2 linked regions of the Arabidopsis thaliana genome follow. The protein of the gene in region 1 interacts with the protein of each later gene in a pairwise test. Each region holds a gene or a part of one and is shown on either strand. Other genes may lie near its edges.

Region 1 (4,689 bases):
AAATAAAATAAATGACCAAAATACTCATATTCTCATGCAAATTCCATTACTACTAGTTTTTTCTAGGGATTTACTCAGATAATAATTAGGTTGTTATTACTAGATAGCCAAATTCTGAGATTAAATAAAGATATTAATCATAAGTTTAGTTTTTGTTAGAAAAGAACTATGGATTCACACGTTAGACGGTGTATATTGACGAAAATATCTTTATCAATTTCTAATATTACAATAAGACTTCCGATAGATTTGAGAAGAGGAAAATTCAATTGTAAAAATACAGTGAAGAAAAATATGTAATTTTCATGATATTTGAAGAAATACATATGACTCCTTACATAACGTGAAATATTGACAGATATGTATAATTATTACATTAAAACATAGTTATTTTATGAAATACTAATGATATATTGGATAAAAGACATGTAATTTGTTTATATAACATGAAATCTTGACAAAAATATGAATCTGTTCCAAAAAAAAAATATGAGATTTTGTTAGATAGCTTGACAAAAATTTACAAGTCAATGTAAAGACTTAAGAGCATGTTTTGTCTTTGAAATACATGCGTTTTTTAAATCATATCTAATCTTATATGTCATGCCGACGAGTGATGGAGAAAATCCGGTGAAAGAGGAAAAAAAGAATAGATAGGAAAAAAAGAAAAATAATAAAAGGGTAAGATGGACCAAAGATCTTATAAAAACCCTGTCGTTGGTTAATTGTATAAATTCTCTAACAATTATATAAATTCAAGACCTGAAAGATTCATTTTTAAGCGCAAATGAAAACAATTGGAATTTCACATATACCACAAAAAGGCAAAAGACAAATTTCATTTTTCGAAAAGATCACAAGGAGAATCGAAAAACACACTCCCTATCCCTTACATACTTAATAGAAAACCAACAACAGACCAACTTCTTATGTAACTTTTGGTTTTCTCCACAATGGGAAGTTAGCAGATTTGGCAGCGAGTCTTTAAAACTTGTTGCATCAACCACGGCCGCGACCTGCTCCTGTTTTTCATAACATATTAGAGTTTTAGCTTAAATCCCATTGTGGCAAGACACAGATATTTGAAGTATTCTAGTAAAATCAGAGTTTTGTGACAAGCTTTGTTTGTGTATTTTTTACCTCTGTTGCCACCCATCTTCCCCATTGAAGTTCCTCTGCCTCTGCCTCTGGCTCCTCCATCATCCACACCACGTCCTCTTCCACGTCCAACACCTGGTGGTTTTCTATCTGCACATATTCAACCATCGTTATTAACACCTGAAGTATTCTCAATGTCTACTCTGGCAAAATATTAACACCTCAGAAAACTCGAAGCATATCTCAGTAAAGGTACAATATAGACATGAGTAATACTATACCTGTGCGTGTCTTCTCCTCCTGTACTTTATCAATCACCTGAAGAGAGAAGAAATCAATTTAAGTCAGTTAACTCAATCTAGGTTGCAGCAGTAAGAACATAAATAGAAACAGCATATGACTGTCCTTCTAGATGAAGATATCGTTTATGGTATGTGAATATAATTTGATTTTAGAGGGAATGAAATAAAGTAGAAACAATAGAGAAAAATCGCATCAGAAACACAACACAGCAAAGTCCATAAAAGTGGGTCAACATTCTGGTCAGCAATAACCATTCCCTGTGATATCGTCTAAGACGCACTACAACAAGAGGCACACCATCTGCTGAACAAGGTTCCACAGAAAAATGCCTCTTGGAGCACATATCTGATTTGGCTAAGCATCATCATTCCAGAGAGAGGGGAACAAAGAAAAAACTAGATCAAGCAAGAGATATATACACACACACACAAAAAAAAATTACCTCATCCGGAACTCGAAGGTACTTGATTGTGTTACCACGGATATAACATTCCGGCATCCTCCAAAATCTATCTCCGTCCTAGAGTAATCAAGCAGCAAAATATATGAGTGTCAGCTACACAAAATTTCATCACGAAGTCTAAACAAAGTATATTTGTATCAACATATGAAAACATAAGATAACCTTTGATGTACATATGACTTCACGCAGATGGATGTTCATCCAAGTATCACAATTCACCAAATGCCCATTGTATGTCTCTCCATTCTTAAGCTCCACGAGCTACCAAAACAAAACAAGATTCAAAATTACAGTAAAAGGAAGTTCCTTTAGATCCCTAATGCAATGCTCACTTAAACTCAGCTTCACTTCATATATAACAAAATTGTAATCAAGGGTCGAAATTTTACTCACCATAGGATGCCCTTGAGCAGTTTTAAGCAGCGATAGAGGAAGCTATAAAATCAAAACAACAGCTTTCAGTTAATAAAAATTGAAACTTTAACGCAAACAAGAAAGAAGGAAAAAAACCCTAAGTTTGTCTAGTAACTTACCATCTTCTTAAATCAGAAGATTTAGAGATCCGTTAAGAACCTGATGACATCAGAGAAGTATAACATTAAACCCTTTATAAGATGCGGAAGAAGCAATAGCGAAAACGGAACAAAAACCCTAATTCAGCTACTAAAAAAAATCTGAGAGAAAAGGGAGAAACCTTGTAATATACTCCGAAGATCGGCAAGAAGGTGAACGATTCAAATATGAAAGAGATCGAAGAATAGAGAGGCGTCGAAACTTCGAAATCTGTTTTTTGCTTTTTTCTGCTTCTCGGGTTTTGACAGTGAGAGGGATGGATTTCTAATGAATCGGTGGTCTTTTAGTTTTAGGTCAATGGGAACTTTTTTGAGTTTTGCACTCGAGTCCCTTAACTTTATAATATTATCTGTTTTAGTATATATTGTTAAACATATCAATCTAGCCAACTAATCCGATGTCGTCCAGCGGTTAGGATATCTGGCTTTCACCCAGGAGACCCGGGTTCGATTCCCGGCATCGGAGCTTTTTGTTTTAATTTTTCGTATACTTTGTCTACACCAAAGTGTATTTGTAGCCGTTGGCAATGGTTACCTGGTGGAAAATAACTAATCATTAATATGTTATTGATGCTCTCGAAATTAATTAATTTACATCACTAAGGCGAACTGTGTGAATCAAACAAAGCCAAGTGATATGTCAAATCTAATCCTAAACTTTTACAATTAAGCTTAAAGCCTCAGCAATGTGATTGTTAAAGCTATTTTGTAACCGACAATACTTCAGACCTCTCTAAATTATCAACCAACTCGAACGTTATTGAACCTCGACCAGCTCCAGTAACTAAATCTTAATCAAAGTTTCAATTACACACAACTGTGTAATTGTGAATCTGTAACTGGTTTGTTTCAGCACATGAAAAGCTGATAGTCAGGTTCGTGAGCTCCGACATTCAAGTAATTGACATCAACTGCGGTTGTTCCCAAATCATCTGGTGGAGAAGGATAAGACATAAAGTTTCAATAGAGCATAAATCTTTAAGAGACTTTGAGTGTATGTATGTGTAATCAAATGTGATCTACAATGAAGCAAATTGATGAGTGAGATGAGAGAAGGTATAGAGTTGTTCAAACCTTCGTATATTGTTCTTACAAACTTAACATAGTCAGGGATGAGATCTCGGTATATGATTCCATCCGGATGCGCATCAAGAACCACAAGTACACCTACAGATCAATCAAAGGAAAGGAAGATGTCAAACGTAACACTACAATTGTTTTCCACGATACTAATGAAAGACAAGATCATCTTGAAACTATGAAGTGTTTAGATCTTTTCTATTACTCTCAGAGATGAAAACAGATATTATACCTGGAGCAACCCAATCTGGAGAAGAGTTGCTAGGTAATGGTGCAAGCCAAAGGATATTCCTCAAGTTCATTGAATCATTGTATTTCACGTCAGATCCTAACAAAAAGGAGATACAATCATAATACTGAAGATTTAAGGGATTTCTGTGACCATTTCTATGTTTCAAGAGATTGCAAGAAAACTCACAGTCACACGGACAAGAACCCATATTACCTCTCTGGCAATATCCCATGTTGTAAGGAAACACTTTCTTGTCATAGGCTGGATACTCTTTAGCATGAAACCTACCATCACCAATCAGATACTAGTCAACAACAGTACTCAAAACCTAGCTCAACCATGTAACTTTCTATAAATATTCCCCAAAACTCATTACTTACGTTCAACCTTTCTAAAAACACTGCAACAATTGTGTTAAGAATCAGAAACCATTCTTCCTTTATTGATAACTGTTGGTTACATTCAAGAACACAAGAACAAACCCTAGAGAGTTCTCTTCACTCTCAAAGCCTAAATGCTCCCAATTAACCAAATGGTCTAGACCCCCTTATATCTACTATTCTAGTGCCTATCAAAGCGTCTCGATTCTTACACAACGAAGTCAGTAACAGAACATGATCATCATTACTATTTCAAGAGTCCTAGTGTGTGTTGAGGAGACAAAGGAGACTTACAATATTCCAAGGCGTCCAGATTCTGAGGCAAGGAATAAATGGCCATGGAACAAATCATATCTACTCAATGAAACATTCAATCCAACACTAGGTCCCCTAGATTCAATTAGATGAAACAAGAACTCGAAATATGAGTTCACTTCCTGTTCATTAACATCATCAATCAGATCACTACACCATAAGATCAAACAGTTCACAAAATAGCTTCTTTTTTTACCTCTGCTATAAAATGACGACCATAAGGAGTTCTAGTAAGTTGACATTTAT
Region 2 (4,599 bases), about 15 Mb from region 1:
AAAACAATTATGTAAACTGTTTAGAAACTTTTGGGTAGGTAAATGTCAGCATCGCGGGGATGGCTTTGGTGCAGCTCACACGAGAGCTGTCTTGTTACGTGCAATTTCTTAATTGGTTGGTAGAAGGATAAAAATCCTTCATTTGAAAACGATCTACACTTTTTGGTTTGGAGAAACATATACCCTTCTTTTATACACAAAGATTAATCACAACCATTAATAGAAAATCAATTATAAAAAAAAAAACAAAAAAAAAACTTCACAACCATATAACATCCATTGACGAATTTCATTAAGTGAACGGTTGTACGTTAAGATAAGAAGACTGCAGAAGAAGGTAATAGATATGAGGTGCTCTCTCATTGGCTATTACCAAAAAGGTCTCTGCCACATTTTATGATTTACCAAACTCTGCCTTTTTTCCATGTCAACTTCTACTGTAGGTCCCTTACTCACCTGCATCTTGGTCAGATCATAGATTTCACAAACTGATTGTGTTGCAGTAAGATCGTAGTTAAGAAGCTTCCTAAATCTAAGAAGGCTTAACAAAACAAAATTTGTTGCATCTTCAAAAGACAATTTGTGTATGTGTCTATTTGTATATTGTGTAAGAAGACAATTTGGAATATTAATCCGAATACCGAATATCGGATAATGTTTCTTTATAATTCATAATGTGTTTCAAAATAATCCATTATTCCAAGACGTGTGCCAACCAGTGTTATCACTTCATGTAATCATTTTTTAGCAGGGTTAAGATTTAAGACAGCTTTAGTTTGAGGGCATTGTCTTTCTCTTAGAAGGGTCGTAAACGGTGAACATGTCACACACAGTAAGTTACCAAAGTCAAAATGTCGGTTTTTCATAACTTCCCCAATTCTTTTTATTTAACATTATCATTTAGCAACCAGATCAACACTACACTATCAATGGAAAGTGTTTTTTTTTCATCTAGATTTTGATTTGAGTTTTTCGTTTTTGAATTATTGGTTTTTAAAAACTAGATCAACCAGATTTTTAGTTCTATTGACGCGTCTGTGTTTTTTTCTGATGTTGTCAAGATAGTAGGGACAATATTCTTCTTCTTCAGCAATAATGGGTTATATAAACTGACAATTTTTCTCCAACAAAAAGCAGTTGCATTAGACAAGATCATAACTTTTAAAGTTTTTGGCAAAAGAACTAAATCTGAAATTTTCAAAATTTTCTTTTGAAATAAGGCATCAAGTGTCAGCATATTCATCTTCTGAATCTCCCTCCTCTACCACCACCACGACCGCCTCTTCTTCCACCACCGCCACCGCGACCTCCACCATGTCCATTGCCGTTAGCTCCAGGAGTCTTCATGTTTTCAGGCAATGGGAGGATTTGATCAACACACTTCCTGAAGCTGAAATCGTCTGCAGTATCGTCTTCCCTAACCAGAAAGAAGCATCTGCTTTTCCACATTGGGTGGGTTCTTACTTGGAAGGTTTTGATTCCTCCTCCAATCTTCTTTTCAGGCTCAGAATGGCCCTTCTTAATCAGATCTAGCAGCACCATGTGCTCATACTGAAATGTACAATCCAGAACAAAGTTCAGTACAACGAGTTAGTTAGTTGGAAGCTCAAAAGAAACTGCAACAACTGTAATATATTACATGACTATGCAATGTTTTATCTTTTATTTGTGCCCTCAAAATTTGACATTAACTTCATTCTTCTAACCATTATATGACATCAAGACCCAAAAAAACTTTCTAATTCACACACAATCCACAATCATATAATCAGTAAGAACACGATACATTTGAACTTTTCAACTAGTAAAAAAGCTGCAAAGGAGTCCAATTTACAAGCTATCTCCACTTCACTAATCCTCTCCCTAAACATAATACAATATCCACAATCATCTCCCTAAACATAATACAATATCCACAATCATTGTAAACAACCACTAATTTGAGACAAAAACAAAATTCTAACACCAAACACTGAATCCAAAATCAAATCATATGACCAATACAAAGGCGAACCCAATTCTCAATTTCTTTTAGTTTAAATACAAAGCACGATCATCATCAGATTCATTGATAAAACATCTTCCTAAACACATCACAGAACTTAATAATCACAATCAGAGCTCTTAGATTAACCTATATAAGTCTCGAGCAAAGGAATGAATATTTCCAAAAAATTTGAAACTTTACAATAAACAAAGCCAAAAGACAAAGACGAAGAGTAAACCCAAATATGTATTACCTTATTAACATCGAGATCAGTTGGCCAAAAGTGTAAAAACTTGACAAAGTAATCGAACATCGCCACAGAGGTAACAAACTCCTTGGGACCAAGTTTAACCGGACCTGACTTCTCTTCCTCTCCAACCTTCTGCTTCTTCGATTCACCTCCGTTCTCTTCTTCCTCTGTCTCCTCTCTCTCACGTTTCTCATCGCCGGTCTCGGCTTTCGGGGTCGCGGTTTCGACTTCCATGTCCACTTTCTGGTCTGGGTTCACTTCCGCTGACAGGGAATCGACGATCTCTTGTTCTTCAGCCATTGTTAAGCTAGTAAAGCTTCCGCCTTTTTTTCACCTTTCTACGATTTCTAGGGTTTAAGCTTGAGGGTGTGTGACCTACAGAAATCGTCTAAGCGGTATATTTATATGACTTTGGTTTCCGATTGAACCGAACTGGTTCGGTCTATTTGATTTTTTGGCTCGACGGCATACACTACATGAAAACCAGGATTTTCAATGTAGTAACTAATTTGTCGTCATTGATCTGTCCAATTATTATTTTTACGTCTCTTAAATCTTTTCATTTTAAAGTCTACATTTTTCTAATATATTTTTTTATTAATCATCTCAAGATATTTTTTTAGTCTACAAATTACTTTTACTGTTGTAGAAAATTTGGATAATAGTCAGTAATTCTAAATAATAGAATAAAAACTCAAATCTTAATATAATAGTTTAACAAATAAATCATATTATACTTTTTTTGGATAAAAAATGTTGATATAATTTACAATGTTATTAAAAATAATTTTTGGGATACCTAAACGTTTTAGATGTTCAGTCTGTCGGGATATCTTGGAGACTTAACTTATTGATCAATCACAATTTTTGCCAAAGAGGAAAATGTCAAAGTCAAACGAACATCTTTTGAAATTATTTACATCTCGTGGAATTAATGGAACTTCTTAAATTTTTCAAAAATTTGACATAATTGGAATATATTTTTTTTGCTTCTAGTCAATCTTACCATATTATCTATCAACAGTCAAACACCTCAATCTTAAATTTTCTAAAAATAATGGAATTATTTTATCGTATTTTGGTAAAGAGTTATTTTTGTAATATTATCTAAAATCTAAAAAGAACCAAGATAGATAGGTACAAAAAAAAAAAAAACTTTTTTTTGTGAAAATCTGATTATCATAACGTTACCGTGTCAAATCGTCAACCTCCATAACTCCGGTTTTGTGTATTTAATTATATATTTATCTGTTTACACGCGCTTCGAAATTTTGATTTACTTATCTGAATATTTTTCCAGACCGAACATCAAACAAGAAAACACATTTGTCCGAATTTCATCTTGAGAGCTGTTTGTGCCCTTCAAGAAATCGAAAGAGAGCTTCTTTCCCCCATTTTCTGCGATTCACGATATTTCTTCTTCTATAGGTAATCATAATTTGATCATCTTCTCTTTTATCTCTTTTTTTCTTTCATTTTCTTCTTGGGTTATGGTTGGTTGATTCTGCTATTTGGGAATTTTGATTTCTGTGACTTTTGGGGTTTCAATTTCATTCCTGAATTGTGATGGAATCGAATGGTATCTCTCTTTTGTTTTCATGGTTGAGATGTGATTCTGAAATTTGGGGATTTTCCGATTAGGTTTATGTCTTGAAAATTTGGGGAAATTTGGAGACAAAGACATATTTTAAACTCAGATCCTAATCTCTTCCACCAAGACATTTTCCCTGAATTGTTCCGCTTTAATGAAATGAAATCGATTGTCTGAGCTCAATTATGATGTTTCGATTCAAAGAAATGGAGATTTTTGTGTTGATGATGGAACATTTATCATTATAAGAGTTATGAGATTTTTATTTTGAATCTTTGGATCTTTCTTGGTTTTTAACAGGACAACGTTTTTTTACACATTGAGGCTAAAAGAGAGATGGCTGATGATCAGAGTTCAAGTACTGACCGTCTCGTGAAACCTGAAAGTTTAAACTCAGATAGAGGATCCAATCAATCTATTGAATCTTCTGGAGAGAGTTCTAGAGCTCAGGGTTCCACAAGCCTGTCTACTACTAAATCTATGGATGGTAAGAAAACCGAGGAAGAAGAGACAACGGAACAACGCGATGTTGATGATGAAGAGGAACCGCTCATCCAATCGGTTGAATGTCGTATATGCCAAGAGGAGGATTCCGTTAAGAACCTCGAGTCCCCTTGTTCTTGTAGTGGCAGTTTGAAGGTGATAATTTTATCAATGAATCTCATTGTTTTATTTGTTTTTGTTGGTATCTTTCGTTTAAAACAGTTCTCATCAATTTGGTATTTTGTGTCTATAGTATGCTCATCGTAAGTGTGTTCAACGTTGGTGTAA

Evidence for each region.
Region 2: the proteins of emb1644 (region 1) and AT5G62440 interact in a two-hybrid assay, tested with the Arabidopsis thaliana proteins (one study listed by BioGRID).

The regions. Positions count from the first base shown.
Region 1 is NC_003076.8:9,813,615-9,818,303, reverse strand, and holds emb1644 (Small nuclear ribonucleoprotein family protein), read right to left. Parts: upstream 2,805-4,689; 5' UTR 2,559-2,804; intron 2,438-2,558; 5' UTR 2,401-2,437; coding exon 2,398-2,400; intron 2,300-2,397; coding exon 2,258-2,299; intron 2,126-2,257; coding exon 2,027-2,125; intron 1,922-2,026; coding exon 1,844-1,921; intron 1,775-1,843; exon of another isoform or gene 1,637-1,774; intron 1,417-1,636; coding exon 1,380-1,416; intron 1,249-1,379; coding exon 1,141-1,248; intron 1,023-1,140; coding exon 1,000-1,022; 3' UTR 686-999; downstream 1-685. Other genes in the region: AT5G27710 (T-box protein), read right to left, coding at 3,286-3,368, 3,511-3,603, 3,749-3,844, 3,962-4,032, 4,423-4,565, 4,640-4,689. UniProt on the Arabidopsis thaliana protein: Component of LSM protein complexes, which are involved in RNA processing. Component of the cytoplasmic LSM1-LSM7 complex which is involved in mRNA degradation by promoting decapping and leading to accurate 5'-3' mRNA decay.
Region 2 is NC_003076.8:25,071,381-25,075,979, forward strand, and holds AT5G62440 (EMB514 (DUF3223)), read right to left. Parts: upstream 2,690-4,599; 5' UTR 2,538-2,689; coding exon 2,241-2,537; intron 1,552-2,240; coding exon 1,240-1,551; 3' UTR 737-1,239; downstream 1-736. Other genes in the region: AT5G62460 (RING/FYVE/PHD zinc finger superfamily protein), read left to right, coding at 3,814-3,816, 4,129-4,467, 4,565-4,599. UniProt on the Arabidopsis thaliana protein: May play a role in ribosome biogenesis and in determining the rate of cell division. Involved in a process essential for nuclear and nucleolar functions.